Rattus norvegicus: one gene and its partners. The protein of the gene in region 3 interacts with the protein of the main gene of each other region in a pairwise test. Links are inferred from orthologs where the notes say so. Each region holds a gene or a part of one and is shown on either strand. Other genes may lie near its edges.

Region 1 (4,665 bases), about 11 Mb from region 3:
GTCCAAGGCAGCTGAGTTGGTTTCTGAGTGTACATATCTGCAAGGAGAGCTTACCCTAATCTTTGAGGACAGATGTGTAGTGTGCCCTCAAACCCATCCCTGAGCTGAGTGTGGTGGTGCACGTCTTTAATCCCTGCACTTGGAAGGCAGAGGCCAGTCTTAAAACATTCAATCAATCAAATAAAACAAAACCATCTTTGTGTTTAGAAACATGTTAAGAAAAGCCTAAGGTATGACCCACTGACCTACTGTCGATGACTGTTGGTAAATTTCTTTCCTGGGAGGGATGTGAACAGTGTCAGCCTTCTCCCAAATGATCCACTAACAAACTAAAGTCCAAGTTGACCCGGGGAAACCAATGAGCTTACTGGGATTACTTACGGGTTGAGAGGCTTGTGACTAAAGTGTAGGTGAAGCAAATGCGGCTGCACTGGAAGGTCCTCACAGTGTGATGGCCTCTCCACAGCTCTATGTAGAAGGCTCCCTCTCCCTGGTCTTCCCCAGCCTACATACTCAGGCCTCTCATGGAGGCACTCAGAGCAGAGGACTGGGAGAAGTGGCCTGACACTCAGGTGAAGAAGGTTCAATGACCCTTCAAGCTCCCTCCTTTTAGGAGGACAAATGTCAACTAACCATGAGCCCAATCCACAAACAAGACACACCCAGGCAAGCAGGCATAGCTGACCTCATGAAGACGGCAGGTCTGCCTTGAAGATTAGCTCCTTACAACTCAAGTCTTAAAAAGGACAGAATATGTCTCAAGCTAATGTCCTGAGCTCTCCACAGTGAGCTGAAGGATCAGATGTCTTTATATCCTTTTCTGTAGGAGGCAGAGGCCCTCCCTGCCCAGGAACCAGGCTGTTTCCCACTTGCCGCTCACCTGCAATGATCAGCTTCGGGTGGAAGAGGCTGGCATTCTCCTCTAGCTGGTCATAGTTGATGTACCCAGTGTCTGGGTATACCTGTCGGGACCAAGACAAAGGTATGGCTGCTTCCCCTGTCCAGCCACCTGAGACCTTTAATCTGCCACAACTTGGACTGGGGCCTGAGACAGGGCACTGCATTCAGCCTGTCCAAGGATATAAAGGGCCAAATATGCAGACTTGGGAGCTCTCAGAGGGGCCTCAGGATAAAGGGAAGCCTTAGCCCTGGGTACTGCCCCATATTATAGAACAAAGAGCCTAGGAAAATGAGAAAGACACAGCCAAGCCTGCTTGCACAAGCCTGTAATCTAAGCTACTCAGCAGCCTGGGCTACAGCATGAGACACTAATCAAAACAACAGACAGGCTGGAGAAGTGGCTCCAGAGGAAGAGCACTTGCTGTTCTCGAGAGGACACAGGTTTGCCTCACAGCACCCACACAGATGAACACAACTGTCTGCAGTTCCAGTCAACCGGATGCCCTCTTCTGAGATCTTCAAGCACCAGAGACACACGTGACAGACGTACGTATGTACACACACACACACACACACACACACACACACACACGTGTAAACATGCACTCAGGAACAATCTCATACATGTAAATTAAAAATCTACCTTAAAACAAACACCCACCAACAAAGACAAACCACCCAGCAGCGTGCGGAGGCCAGCAAGGCCAGCGCTTCTTCTGGCAGGGCAGAGGCCACCAAGTAGAAGAGGACCAAAGAGAGGGAGGGAGTCTCCATTTTCAGAAGGGAATGGAAGCACATATGAGATGTGAGCTAGAAACACAGTGGCAGAAGGTTAATGTTGCTCACAGAGCTCTCTCCAGAGGTTCACTCTTTAGAAAAGGAAACACCTGGCCCAGTGGAGCTGGGGAGGGGCTGAAGTGAAAGACAGAAGAGCTGCGGAGAGAGGCCACAAAGGAAGGGCCTGTGCTCACAGGACCCAAGCCAGCTCATGTCCCCCTGTGACAGGCCACCACAGGGTCTATCTGTCATGGCCAAAGTGCTGCAGCAAGGACAGCGCTTGAGAAAAACTGGGCACCGAAGCTCAGGAATGGGCTTCATGGAGTAAAGACAGCATGAAGCTGGCCAACATCTCATCAAAGGCTACAGAGGAAATGTGATATAAAACCTCAGGCTGGGGGTTGGGGATTTAGCTCAGTGGGGTTCAGTCCCCAGCTCCGAAAAAAAAGAAAAAAGAAAAAAAAAAAGAAAAAAAACCTCAGGCTGTCCACACAAAACAGATTCACTTGCATGCACATAGAGCTATTACAGCTGAGACTTGGCTGACTTAACAGTCAATAGGATACATCACATTTATGTATTTGTTCATGTTTGGGCGCCTGAGTACCTGGTGCACATGCAGAGGTCAGACAGCAACTTACAGGCATTGGCTTTACCAAGTGAATTCAGGTCACCAGGCTTGGTGGCAAGTACCTTGTCCTGCTTAGTCATCTTGCCCGCCCTCAAATTTTTTTTTTTTTTTTCTGGAGCTGGGGACCGAACCCAGGGCCTTGCGCTTGCAAGCACTGTACCACTGAGCTAAATCCCCAACCCCCTCAAATTTCTTAAAAGAAAATTGCACCTAATATTTAGCTGAGTAGAACAACTCACTGCCACCTATTTCATGGTGGCAGACAGAAAACCACCAGGGACAGCCGGTTACACAGTAAGTAAAACCGAGAGGGACAGCAGGAGGAGCACACCGCCAACCCACAGGAAATATGCACGTCTCCTACCCAGCTGTCTTTAGGATTTATTCATCGTATGTGCCTGAGTGTTCTCCTGCATGTGTGTGTGTGTACTACATGCATGCCTGGTACTAGTAGAGATCAGGTTTGGGATTCCCTGGGATTGCAATTACAGACAGTCCTAAAAGCCACTAGGCAAGTGCTGAGAACTGAACCCAGGTCCTCAGCAGGAGCTCCTAGACAGCTCCAGGTCCCACTATTGGTCCTATCATAATGGTGATGTGAGTCCTTAGGTCTTTTGTTTTTTTAGTATTTTTTTTTAACTCAAAGTCTCACTGAGTTTCAGGTCTCAAAACTCAGAAACCTCCTGCTTTAGCCTCCAAGTGTTAGGACAGCAAGCATATGTCATCATGTCAGGGGAGGTCTCAAACCTATCCCTCTTCCCTTCCTTTAGACAGGGCTTTCTGTCCCTCCAAGTGGCCTTGAACATTTGAACCCACTGTATCCACCTTCTAAGGTCAGGTAGGTGAATACCTCACGCATGCAGTGCTGAGCTACACCCCCAACCCCTTATATTCATTGTTTGGTTCATCTGTTAATACAGAAGAGCCCCCAGACCCCTACACGCACCTGTGAGTGCGTGTGCGTGCACACCCCTACCTACCTTATAAGGCATGGATTCAAAGAAGATAGAGGTGGCAGAGATTTTCTTCTTGTCTGTCATGAAGCCATGAGTCAGATGGCCACCATCTGGCAGGTCCAAACCCATGATTCGCCCATGGGGCTCTACTAGGGCAGTATACACAGCAAAGTTTGCAGGGGAGCCTAAAACAGAGAAGACATGACTATTTCTACCCATGAGACACAATGTGGCATTTAGGAGCTTGGCTACTAGGCAGGCATCACCATGATTTTCCTGAGCTTTGGAAAGCAACCCTGTCCCAGTCCCACTAATAGTGAGTTCTAGGACAGAGTGCTACCTGGGAGGGAGTGCAGAGCTAATCCAAGCACAATGGAGACAGATTCACACATTCCATTGGCTTGTTTGTTATTTACAAGAAGCCTTCTGTAGGATTTGACCTGGGGACTGGAATACCCTAGAACCAGGCCTAAGGAGCTACCCAGGGTCTGTGTGGATGCAGCAATCACCTGAATAAGGCTGGACATTGACGCCCCAGCACTGAGGATCCAGATGGTAGGCCTGTAATGCACGCTTCTGACACAGCGTCTCCAGCTCATCGATGAACTCAGTCCCACCATAATACCTGTGAAGAGAAGCATGGTCCACATCCACCTGGGCCCAAACTCTGTCCTAGCACAGGCCAAAGATAAGCAAGGGTAGGCAGAGAATATTGAGGGGAGTGGTCCTGCTCTAAGGTTGCTGTGAGGCTCTGGTAAAACATCAGTAGTAAGGCCAGGGCTGGTGGCGCACACCCTTAGTCTCAGCCCCAGAAGGCAGAAGCACAAGTTCCAGGGCAGCTGGAACTCCACACAGATTCTGTCCAAAGAAAAAGAGGAAGGGAGGGAAAGAAACGAGGGAATCTCAGGACAGAATGCACTGTAATCTTAATGTTCCTCCTGTTTCCATTGGAACAGATGCACACATGTGCAGAACACTGTCAGATTCTGTTTGTTCTTTGCCTGATGACAACGGTTATAAATAAATAGATAGCCCGATGGTGGTATTAAATAAATGGATCGCTAGATAGCCTGATTGTTGCTTTTAACAAAACTCAATTGCTTGATTTTTACCAATGAAGACTCAGGAGCCAGACGCTGGGGTGAAAGCCTGCTGGCTCTGAGAGGCAGAGAAAGCACCCAGCTGACCTTCTTCAGTCAAGGTCCCAAAAGGAAGCTCTTCTTCTCCACGATGGCTCAAAAACCTCTCAAACTCAGTGTTCCGCCCTTCTATTTCTGCCCTTCTACTTCCTGTGAGTCTCTCAATCTGTCCTGACTTCCTCTTACTCTGGTTTTTGCCTATGTCGACTTCCTGTCAACTAGCTGCTTGCTCTGCCTCTTGACCTGTGGTTGACTTACCGTA
Region 2 (4,665 bases), on a different chromosome or scaffold from region 3:
TCCACACTGTCTAGCTCAAGGGGTCCTGGGGGTGGGACTTCAGCTCGGCGCCCAGGCTCCCCACAGTGTCCAGGGCTGTCTGGGCTCCCACTCGATGCATCTAGGCGTAGAGAGGAGTAAATGGCTAGGATACTTTGACTTTCTAGATGGCCCAAGACAAGCCAGGTGGCTGGCCAGGCTAAAAGACTGCTTGTCCTGGACCACTGTCTCCGGCCCCTAGGCTCCTCTTTCCCATAGGGTTCTGCTGGCCGTTACCTATCCCCTAAAACCTTTTGCTGCCACCCTGAAACTTAAGCTGCACTGCCGGCCCTTCTCTTATTGTTCTCACTAGCTTCTATCACCATGATATGCTTGACACTTAAGGTTTTTGTCTGGGCTTCTCCCCTAGGGTAGGAATCAACCTTTGCTGTTTGCTACTGTGTCTCATGTATGCAGGAGCAGGAGCTGGAACAAAGGCCAGCATGTGCTCACCGACTATGTAAATGAGGGAATGGATGGGTGAACGAGTGAACCTGGCCCTCCCCAGTGGCCAGGCTGATGTCCCACTTGGGGAGGTGAGTCAAGCAGCACAGGGGACAGGCTAAGGCTCTAGCCGCCTCCCAAGGGCAGTACTCACCAGGAGTGGGCTCCAGGAGAGCAGGGGTGCTGCCAGGCATCCTAGACCTGGTCTCTAGAAGTTGGAGGCTGTTGGGGTGGGCAGGAGGGGTGAGGGGCCCAGAGGCTGAGGTCTTTGGAAGAAACACAGAACTGTGGAGTCCCAGGGTGCTCATGTCTTCAGGGCTGGGTGCTGAGAAGCTGGCTACTGTGACTGCCATACTAGGTGGGACATCCACAGCTTCCTGAGACCACACAGGTGTGGTGGGTGGCTCCAGTTGCGGTGGAGAGAGGAGCTGCTCACAGACACTGGATAAGGTCAGTCTCAGGCTGGCTCGGGCCTCATGGTTGCCCCAAGCAGGCAGTGCAGGCTCATGGCCTTTGACACTAGAAGTGAGTGCTACTGTAGTGGGAACAGCCTGGGGTTCCTGGCCGGGGGATACGGGCTTGTGGAGTGGCCTGGGTAGCTCGCCTGTCACAGGGCCCTCACTGTCCCCGAGAGAGGTGCTGCGAGTCATCTTGGCATGTGAGCTTGTTGTGGACTCCAGGTAAGAACACGGAGATGGGGCGGGAATACTCTGCTCCCGGCCTGTGGTCAGTCCAGACGTGGGTGTTGGAGGCTTCCTGTCTGTGGGTATCACTGAGGAAGGAGGGACACAGGATGCCAGGCCTGTGATGGGAGGGGCTGTAAAAGAAGTAGATGGTTCACTTGCACCCCTGCCTCCTAAAAAAGTTTCAAATCTGAACAGACACTCCCATGGCTCTGCTGGGTACCCAGGGCTGTTCCTCTAGGATTAGGGAGACTTACTTGGTAGACACGAGGCCTCTGGAGTCTCTTCAGCCATCTGCCCAGAGAGGACCTGCAAGCACAGCTCTTGGTAAGAGAAGGCCTCCTGGCTTGCAGCCCTGTGTCCTGAGAGAGTGACCCCAATACTCACATTGGTCCCATCTGAGGACATGTAGCCAGTACCTGCTCTCAGGGGCCCTGCTTTGGGCTGGTTGCCCCCTTGGCCCACAGGCTGAACCTCTGGAGACTTCATAAGGTGCAGGGGCAGCCGGGGAGGGAACCTGGGGAGGAAGCCAGGTGGGAAAGGCACGCTCACATAACCTTATCCTAGGGTAACTGAGGGGGTGTTTCTACCTGGGACTGGGGTAGAAAGAGGGGAGCATAGGTAGTTTCTAGCTTCTACCTGGAGGTCTTCTGGAGGCGGGAGAGGAACTGTGTGGAGATGCTCAGCCGGGGATTGAAGAAATAGTCATCAGTCTCTGAGATCTTTATGTCTCCCAGTGATCCAGGAAAGAGCTCTAGGAAGACACCCATAGGCCCTCAGGCTGCTGACATCTCAGATGCCTTAGGTATGAATGGAGGGGCCAAACTGTCTGCTCTCTTACCCATCTTTCACCACCTGACCATGGAAGACTGCTCAAGAACACCCACACTGTGCCTGGCACTAGACAGACACATACACACACCAGGACACCAGGGTGCAAGACAGACAGACAGACAGACAGACAGACAGACAGACAGACACACACACACACACACACACACACACACACACACACACACACACACACACACACACACACCAGGGTGCAAGTCAGGTCCTACCTTCAGCAGGGGCATCAGTAAGAGTCTCAAAATGGTGGCGGAGGAACTTCTCCTGCTCAGGCGTCTGGGGTAAGGAGCCATTGCCCAAGCCCGGCACCCCAGGCTGGGCAAGCTCGTCTGTACTTGAGTGCTCTGGATGGGAGGCAGGGTGGAGAGTTGTCAGCACTGAGTCACAGCAGGCGACGCTTGACAATGGAGAAATCCAGACTTGCCTGCCACATTCCTGGTTGCTACCAGGCTGAGAAGGAAATGGCAGTCTTCCATTGAGGAAACTGAGGCTCAGGGCTGATAGGAACCTTTACCTGGCTTACCTGTCATGGTGAGGTGAGGGCCAGGGTCCGTTCGAGGAGCTGAGACATGGGCGGCAGCAAAGCTGCACTCCAGTTCAGCCTCTGATTCCCCTGAGTCTGAAGGGAGAGGGGGTGTCAGGAGCCTGCCCGGGGGAGACGGCCCACTCCAGAGGCTTCGGAATTTGTTTCCCATCTGGAGGATGGGGTGATCTATATGTATCCCCTACATTCTATGGTCCAGCAAAGTCCCCCAATCAAGCAGGGGCAGAGCTGGGTGCTCAGCGAGTGGCTTAGCATACTCAGGTAATGGCAGGAACGCCTTTGTTTTCTGTGGCATTATCAACATCAGAAAACTGGATCACGGCCTCTACCAGTGCCCAGAGGCCATTGCAGACCATGAGGGTGCCTGGTTGCTCCCCACTCACCCTCAGGAGGGCTCTGATCCTTTGAACTGACGGAGGAGACCCTGAGATAGGAATCGCCTTGCTGGTCCTCAGGTCCTGCCTCTGCCTCCTCATAATACTCCCTGCAACACCGTCAGGGTGGGGTTATACAGGCAATGAAGAGCTGGCCTTGCCCGCAACCATGAGGCCCACACCCTGCTCCCAGAGCACACCCCAGCCTCTCCTGCCTCCAAACAAAACCCCTCATCCAACCCAGGACTGAACCAAGGAAAATGAGGCTGCAGCTGAGTCTGTCTGAGAGAGCCTCTCAACTCTCCCATGTCCACTCACACAAGCCACTGGGAGAACAGTTTTTCCAGGTAGGGCCTCTCACCAGGGCCCCCTCTCTGCAACTACGGCTCCCTGTGGTGCATAGGACATTCACCTGTGCATCCCTGTAACTGTCACTTCCACCTCTGGGGAGCAGAGGATGAGTTCTCTTGTCTCAGTGCCTTCCCTCTGTAGAGGCAGGTAGGAGGGGTGTCCTCGGCTGTCTTCTTTGGGGCTCCCTGACTAGGAGTGAAGAGCAGAGCCATTCTGAGGTAGCCAGATTCATCCCAGGTCCTTGAATGCTGCCAGCGGTTATGCACAAGTGGCAGAGGAGTGACCCCACGGACACCACTGCCAGACACCACATCAGAGACAGTGTGAAGTCAGCCCTTGGCCAGACCTCCTCCCCGATGTTGGCAAAAGCAGCCCCTTTATAGATAAGGTATAGTCTGGCCTAAGGCCAGAGGAGGCCTAACCTCTGTCTGTTTACAGGACAACCAAGAATAAGCAAAGCACTAACCGGACAGGCTCAGCGGCACACACACAAGGCCCCAGCATCCAGAGTCAGAGACAGACGGTCTCTGAGCTCACGGCCAGCCTAGTCTATGTAATGAGTTCCTGTCTAGCCAGAGTTACACGATCAGACTGTCTCAAAACACAACAAATCAGGCAAACCAGTTCATGAGAAGTGAGAACATGGGCTCCCTCAGTGGGGTGCGTGGGTACTGACTCTGGGTCAGGAGGTAGAACATGCTCTGTGGGGATGTAGGTGGCAAGTACCTCTGAGTGACAAAGGTAGCTCACCAGGCCTTCTCCCGGGGCCGTGTGTCCATTCTCTGGTGAGCACTGTACCACAGCAAAGAGGAAATGTATGCATGAGCATGGGAAAGGACTGCCCCCGAGGAAGGAAGAGTAAGGTCCGAGCCCTGCATCTGTGAGTCCTCTGAGGCAATAGAACCATTATTTGGAAAACTAAGACAAGAGAGGCAAGCCTCTTACCTCAGGTCAGAGGCAGGGAGGGGCTAATCTAGGGTTCACCCACTTGAGCGCTCCCCATTTAGAAGAGAAGTCTATCCTGGGGCCCAAGCTTGAAGAGCTTGGTCAAGCCTCTGAGTGACCCACTCCCAAAGATTGCTTGTTTGCCCTCCACCATTCTGTGACTCACTCTCCTCACCCAAGTGAGCAGCCACAGTACAGGGGACGGCTGGTGGGCTTGGGGGACTGGCTGTACCTCACTTAGCAGGCCTGCCAGGTTTTGTGGCTCTACTGAGTCCAGAACAGAGTCTTCAAGATTTCCAGGCTTCATGGGTGTAAAGTAGGAATCCAGGGCCCAGGCATCCAGGATGGTCTTGAGGGGTTCCTGCTCAGCCCGCTCTGCCCAACGGCCATGTGGCTGGTAGCTGCGCTTGGCGTGGAAGGCTGAGCTGTCTGTCACATCATCATCCCCTAGCTTGAG
Region 3 (5,099 bases):
CCCCCAAGCTCCTCAGTGGTAGAGGCTGTACCTGGCTAATTTCTGAATCCCGGTCCATTATTCAGGCCAAGCATTGCCAGTTCAAAGCAAAGCTTAGTCAAAGATAAATGTGAGAACGCAGAGTGGAGCAGGTTAAGGTCAGATCTCACGCCAGCCTCCCTGTGGACCAGTTACTTATCCAGTGCCAAGCAACTACCCTCATCTGTAAAACAGAGATGAGCACAGAACGTCAGGATGCCTCCGGAGGTGAGTCCAGCTCAGCTGAGAAGGCACTGTGACTTGAGTCCACCCTCAGTTTCAGTGGGTGTCATCTAGAATCACCCAATACTTCTCAGGAAACAGAAACTATATTACAATGCTGAGATGGCATCATGGTTGGGTTTTACCAACCAGGGAGGTACTCCAGAACCACCAGCTGCTTCCACAAGTGAACACAAGGAAAACAGAAGAGGGAAAAGCAACGAACTAAAGAAATGTAGCTGAGTGTGGTGCCTTTTGACTATAATTCTAGCACACGAGAGGCTGAGAGAGGAGGATTACAGTGGATTTGAGGCTACATAGTGAGTGGGAAGCCATATCTGAAAGAAGAAACAAACGTACAACCCCAAAACAATAAGCACCAAAAGATAAAAGCCAACAGAGAGAACTGAAAAGACATCAACCAATAATCACAACAAAAACTTCAAATGATTACAAAAACTGTAAGATACACAAGACACTTAGATATTCAAGTTTTGACTGGTTACTTGATGCTATGAAAGAATGGCTGCTTTTAAAATTTTAAGAGAACCTTGTTTGTTTGTTTGTTTGTTTTAGCGAAATAGACTAAAAAGTTCATGGACAGAATGACGGGATGTCAAGGATCTGCTTCAACACAACGTGAGGAGAGTTTACATGCTCTGAGATCAGGGATGAAAAGAGACTGCCATAGTTAAAACGTGTAGACGCTGGTAAAGCCATCCACTTTATAACAAATCTGAAAGTCCCCATCACAAACAACTAAACGCTGCTGTTGAAATCCAACTCACACGGTGGCCAAGTACAAACCATTAAGAATTATTGTTTTTAAAATAAAATTGCCGCCTTCCTAGCCAGGTGTAAAAGATAACTTCATATTTAGTCAAAAATAGCAGCCCTACTGACCAATTAATACTTTTCTTTTAAAATCAGATTTTGTTTTATCCTATATATAATAAGCTTTTAAAAATTGGTTCACTCATTAATAACTAATCCGTTTGGCATTTCTCTTAGTACAGAAGGTTAAGCCTTTTTTCTTTTGAAACTGACACATTCAAGTACACTCCTGGCCATTTATTTAAAGGATAGAGCGAAGCATCTGTTAACGAGTAATTATAAAGTCCTGAGACCCTGCAAATTGAAACCTCAGGAAAGCAAAAGGTCTCTAGAGATTATGCCCCCAAAACAACAATTATTTTTAACTATGCAGGACTCTCCTGAAAGGAGAGGAGAAACGTTTATAGATTGGCTAATGGAAGGCAAACACAAAGAGAGCTGAGAACCTTAGATGGAGGGGCAATCTGGTTTCAGGTTCTCACTGGCTGCCTGCGCTGAAGCAGACTACTGAAGCACTGTGGGCCTCCATTTCTTCCTCTGTGGAACCTGGTTGGTATCTGGGTGAACAGGGCCTAGCTCCTCTGGCCTCAGGCTACTGTTCCTGCTCCTCGAAGCTTCTCCCTCCCACACTGCCTGCTCAGGAGGTTAGCGGTGCTGCATGAGGTCCGCATTTGGCGGGGCACCAAATGGCTCGTTTTAATTAGCTATTGCCAACGCTAAAATATCAGAGTCCGGATACAAACTTGGAATCCTGGCTCTTAAAAAAAGGCTGAACGAAGTTCTGGACCTCCAGGGGTCTCCAGCACTCCACAATGCCACGCTTGCCTCGGAGGGCTAATTCTTGGCCACAGGCTGAGCAAAGTTCCCTGTTGATCTTGCCCTTTCACTTTCTGTGTCCGTCCCTGCTCAAGGCCCTCCAGCACCCCCACCCCACACCCTCCATTTCTAGGGCACAGACCCTTCACTACAGCTGGTGTCACATCCTGTCCTAGAACTGTGTGCTTGCCAGTCTGTGTCTACGGGGCTCCTGGACTCTCTGGGGGAAGGTACCCTGTTGCTATCTCCTTTGTGTCCTTAGAGTCCAGCAGAAAGCATGACCTAGATAATACAGAATTCAGTAGATAACTCCTGAACGTGTGGAAGGAAGCTCGAGCAAAACTCTTAGCAAAAATGTAATTTTTTTTAATCACAAATTGTTCTGACAGGTGCTAGAAAGAGATTAAAAACATTAAAACATTTCACAAAATGAGAATAAGAGTCTGTTTGCTTACAAGTTTCACAAGTTAAAAGTCACCAACAAAATGGACAAAGCAGAGATAATAGGCAGGGATGGTCTTACTGCTCATTCACTGATCTGACTCTAGAGACGAGAGTCAATATACCAGACAACTACCTGTATTCACAGTGCTATACAAAAACTGGGCTATAAATCAGATAGCATCAAACCAGAGTCAGTGCTGGAAGGAAAACTAAACTGATGAACGGGAATGACTAAGCGAGGGAAAAGGGTGGTCAAGGCAGGCCTCGCCAATAACAAGACACTGAACCACAGGAGGAAGTGATACGAGAAGAGACAGCAGGGCGAAAATCTTATAGACAACTCCGAACATGGAAAAGTCAAAGTGCAAAGGTCCTGAGGTAAATAAATGATTTTTGGCATGTCCAAAGCAGGTGAGGTGAATAGGCTAGGAGAGCAGAGATCTGCTTCTTGTTAGGAGGGAAGGGAGTGGCAGAGGAGGTGGGCAGGGCCCACTCTGGCTCTTTGCTGGGCACTGAAGATGAATGACAAGGCACTGGGGCGGGGGTTGGGGGGAGAAGTGGGGGAGGACTCTAAGCGGATGAGAGTTCCTACGACACTCGTGCCAGTAAGGGAGCATTTACCCACTCGGACGCCCTCAACTGTGCGCCTTAGGCTTCTCTGCCCTAGTGCTTTGAGACAGTTACACTGCCCGATAACAACCCCCAACCAAACCCTAGACATTTTACCACTACTGCGGAGGGGAAAGCAGAGGGCCAGTGAGGGTCAGAGTCACCGCCAAGGTCGCGGGGATCAGAGCCCAGACTCCAGGGCATGCAGCGGAGTACAGCAGCATGCCTCACAGCTGGAGAGAAGGCGCCCACAGACTCCTGCGGGCAGGTCTGCTGGGCCCGGGCCAGACAGCCGGCCTGCAGCCCTGGGCAGCAGACACCAGGCGAGAGAGAACGACTGCGGAACCGTGGAAAGCCAGGCAGTGCCGAGCAGCCCACCCCCCGCACCCCAGGCCTTCGCGGCCCGAGCAGCCCCGCCAGGCCTAGCCGCCCGCCGGGCTCACCTCGGCTCCGCGCCGCCGCGCCGGAGGCAGAGGGAGGGCACGCTGGCGGCGATGCGTTCTGGCGGCTCCCAGCTCCAGGACCCGGACCCGGCCGCCCCGCCCCGCTCTGCTCCGCCCCGTCGCCGCCGCAGTGGGTGTGAGGGGCGCGGGGCGCAGCGACCCTTCCGGTCGGGTTCCCTTCAGCTCCGCAGCTGCCGCCGCCGCCGCCGCCGCCGCCGCGCTCAGTCTGACGGATTCTCAGGCCAGCCAATCAGAACAAGGATATCTAGGCAGGCGGGGCCAATCGAGACTGGGGGTGGGCCAAGGCTGGGCAGTAAGGGCGTGGCTGAGGGTTGGTGTGGGCGAGGCCAGTGGCGCGCTCTGGATACCCTAGTGCAAAGTGGCGCCCCCTAGGCGGCTCCCCGCCTGGCCGTCTGCTTGCTATAAGCGCGTCTGCCAATGTGCGCAGAGGACTAGGGATCCAAGTCAATCTAGGACCAGCTCCTGAGCCCGCCTTCCAGGGCCAGGGGACCCGCATGCGCCGGAGAGGGTGGGCCAAGAGGAGCGAGAGCTGGGGAGGGGCGAAGCGTGACTTTGCTACAGTGTAGGAGCCTAGTCAGGCTCTGTTGCAGCAGGTGCAAGTGGAGAGGCGGCCCTGCGATTTCTCCAAATGCTGGAAACTCGACTGCATAATCGTTCGTGCTCTCCCCTGGGAAAAAAAGGGGGTAAAAGGACTGGAAACAACCGGGTTAGACAGGAGACCTGGGCAAGATTGGGAACCTGGAGTATAACGGCCCGGGAGGAGGAGGGAGGACAAGCCACAGAGCCTTGGGGTTTGTTGTTCACTAAGGCGGATGCGCTGCGTAAGCCACACTGAGTGGGCTCATAACAAGGATGCAGCCAGATGTCCAGAGGGTGGGGGCTGGAGAAACGGTGACCATGACGCTGGTGAGTCAGTGAGGGGATTGGCGGGGTGTGACCTAAAGAGGACTGTTGTAAGGAACAAGTTTCTGCTTTGGTGTAGAGGGATGAGGAGGGCGTCATTCCAATGCTGAAGGGCTTCTATACAGCGGTCTTTGACACTGCTGCTTTTGTTGACGCTCCTACAGCCCTCTGTCTCTCAAATAGGTTCCAGAAGGTCTGAGGTGAATAAGACGTTTGGAAAGCACAGAATTTAGGGTTCTGACTACTCTGAGCTTTGATCGAAAGACTGCAAGTGAGACAAGAGAGGTTGAACGCACTGAGGAAAAGCTCTAAACAGGTTAGGCTGAGGACTGGCCTATAAGGGATTGGAAAAATGCTGACAGTAGTTGACAAGTGGTACAGCTGTAGTAGGATGCCAAGGAATAGCCAGGGAATCGGGCTCTGCATATAGGAAGATCAGGAGAATAGAAGGCCCCATGAATCTCGGCAGAATTTGAAGAGATCTGTGACTCCGGTTTCAAGCACTGAGCCAGGGGGGTGGAGGCACAGAGAAGTGGGATAGAGAAAGGGATAGACAGTATCTCTGTTTTATTCTGTTTTCATATTGTGACAAAGCAAGATGACCAGAAAGCACTTCGGGGATGAAAGGGTTTATTTTGGCTTACAACTCTCAGGCCACTCCTCATTGAAGGAAGTAGGACACTCAAGGCAGGAACCAGCAGGCAGGAACCAAAGCAGAAGCAAGGGAAGAACACAGCTTATTAAGTTAGGGATGGAACTGCCTTCAGTGTGCTAGGCCCTCCCACATCA

What was found. The genes of interacting proteins can lie anywhere in the genome.
Region 1: the proteins of Mapk9 (region 3) and Shmt1 interact in binary tests that used the Homo sapiens proteins (3 or more experiments, as listed by UniProt). The two-hybrid records come from large-scale screens. The link is inferred for Rattus norvegicus from reciprocal best matches to the Homo sapiens genes MAPK9 and SHMT1.
Region 2: the proteins of Mapk9 (region 3) and Wdr62 interact in binary tests that used the Homo sapiens proteins (3 or more experiments, as listed by UniProt). The two-hybrid records come from large-scale screens. The link is inferred for Rattus norvegicus from reciprocal best matches to the Homo sapiens genes MAPK9 and WDR62.

The regions. Positions count from the first base shown.
Region 1 is NC_086028.1:45,976,310-45,980,974, forward strand, and holds part of Shmt1 (serine hydroxymethyltransferase, cytosolic), read right to left. Parts: exon of another isoform or gene 4,377-4,665; intron 3,890-4,376; coding exon 3,774-3,889; intron 3,450-3,773; coding exon 3,289-3,449; intron 963-3,288; coding exon 881-962; intron 1-880. UniProt on the Homo sapiens protein: Interconversion of serine and glycine.
Region 2 is NC_086019.1:94,619,490-94,624,154, forward strand, and holds part of Wdr62 (WD repeat-containing protein 62), read right to left. Parts: intron 4,660-4,665; coding exon 4,441-4,659; intron 4,056-4,440; coding exon 3,990-4,055; intron 3,453-3,989; coding exon 3,325-3,452; intron 3,023-3,324; coding exon 2,922-3,022; intron 2,614-2,921; coding exon 2,509-2,613; intron 2,339-2,508; coding exon 2,207-2,338; intron 1,900-2,206; coding exon 1,785-1,899; intron 1,663-1,784; coding exon 1,533-1,662; intron 1,455-1,532; coding exon 1,403-1,454; intron 1,280-1,402; coding exon 617-1,279; intron 101-616; coding exon 1-100. UniProt on the Homo sapiens protein: Required for cerebral cortical development. Plays a role in neuronal proliferation and migration.
Region 3 is NC_086028.1:34,669,271-34,674,369, reverse strand, and holds the start of Mapk9 (mitogen-activated protein kinase 9), read right to left. Parts: upstream 3,598-5,099; 5' UTR 3,387-3,597; intron 1-3,386. UniProt on the Homo sapiens protein: Serine/threonine-protein kinase involved in various processes such as cell proliferation, differentiation, migration, transformation and programmed cell death.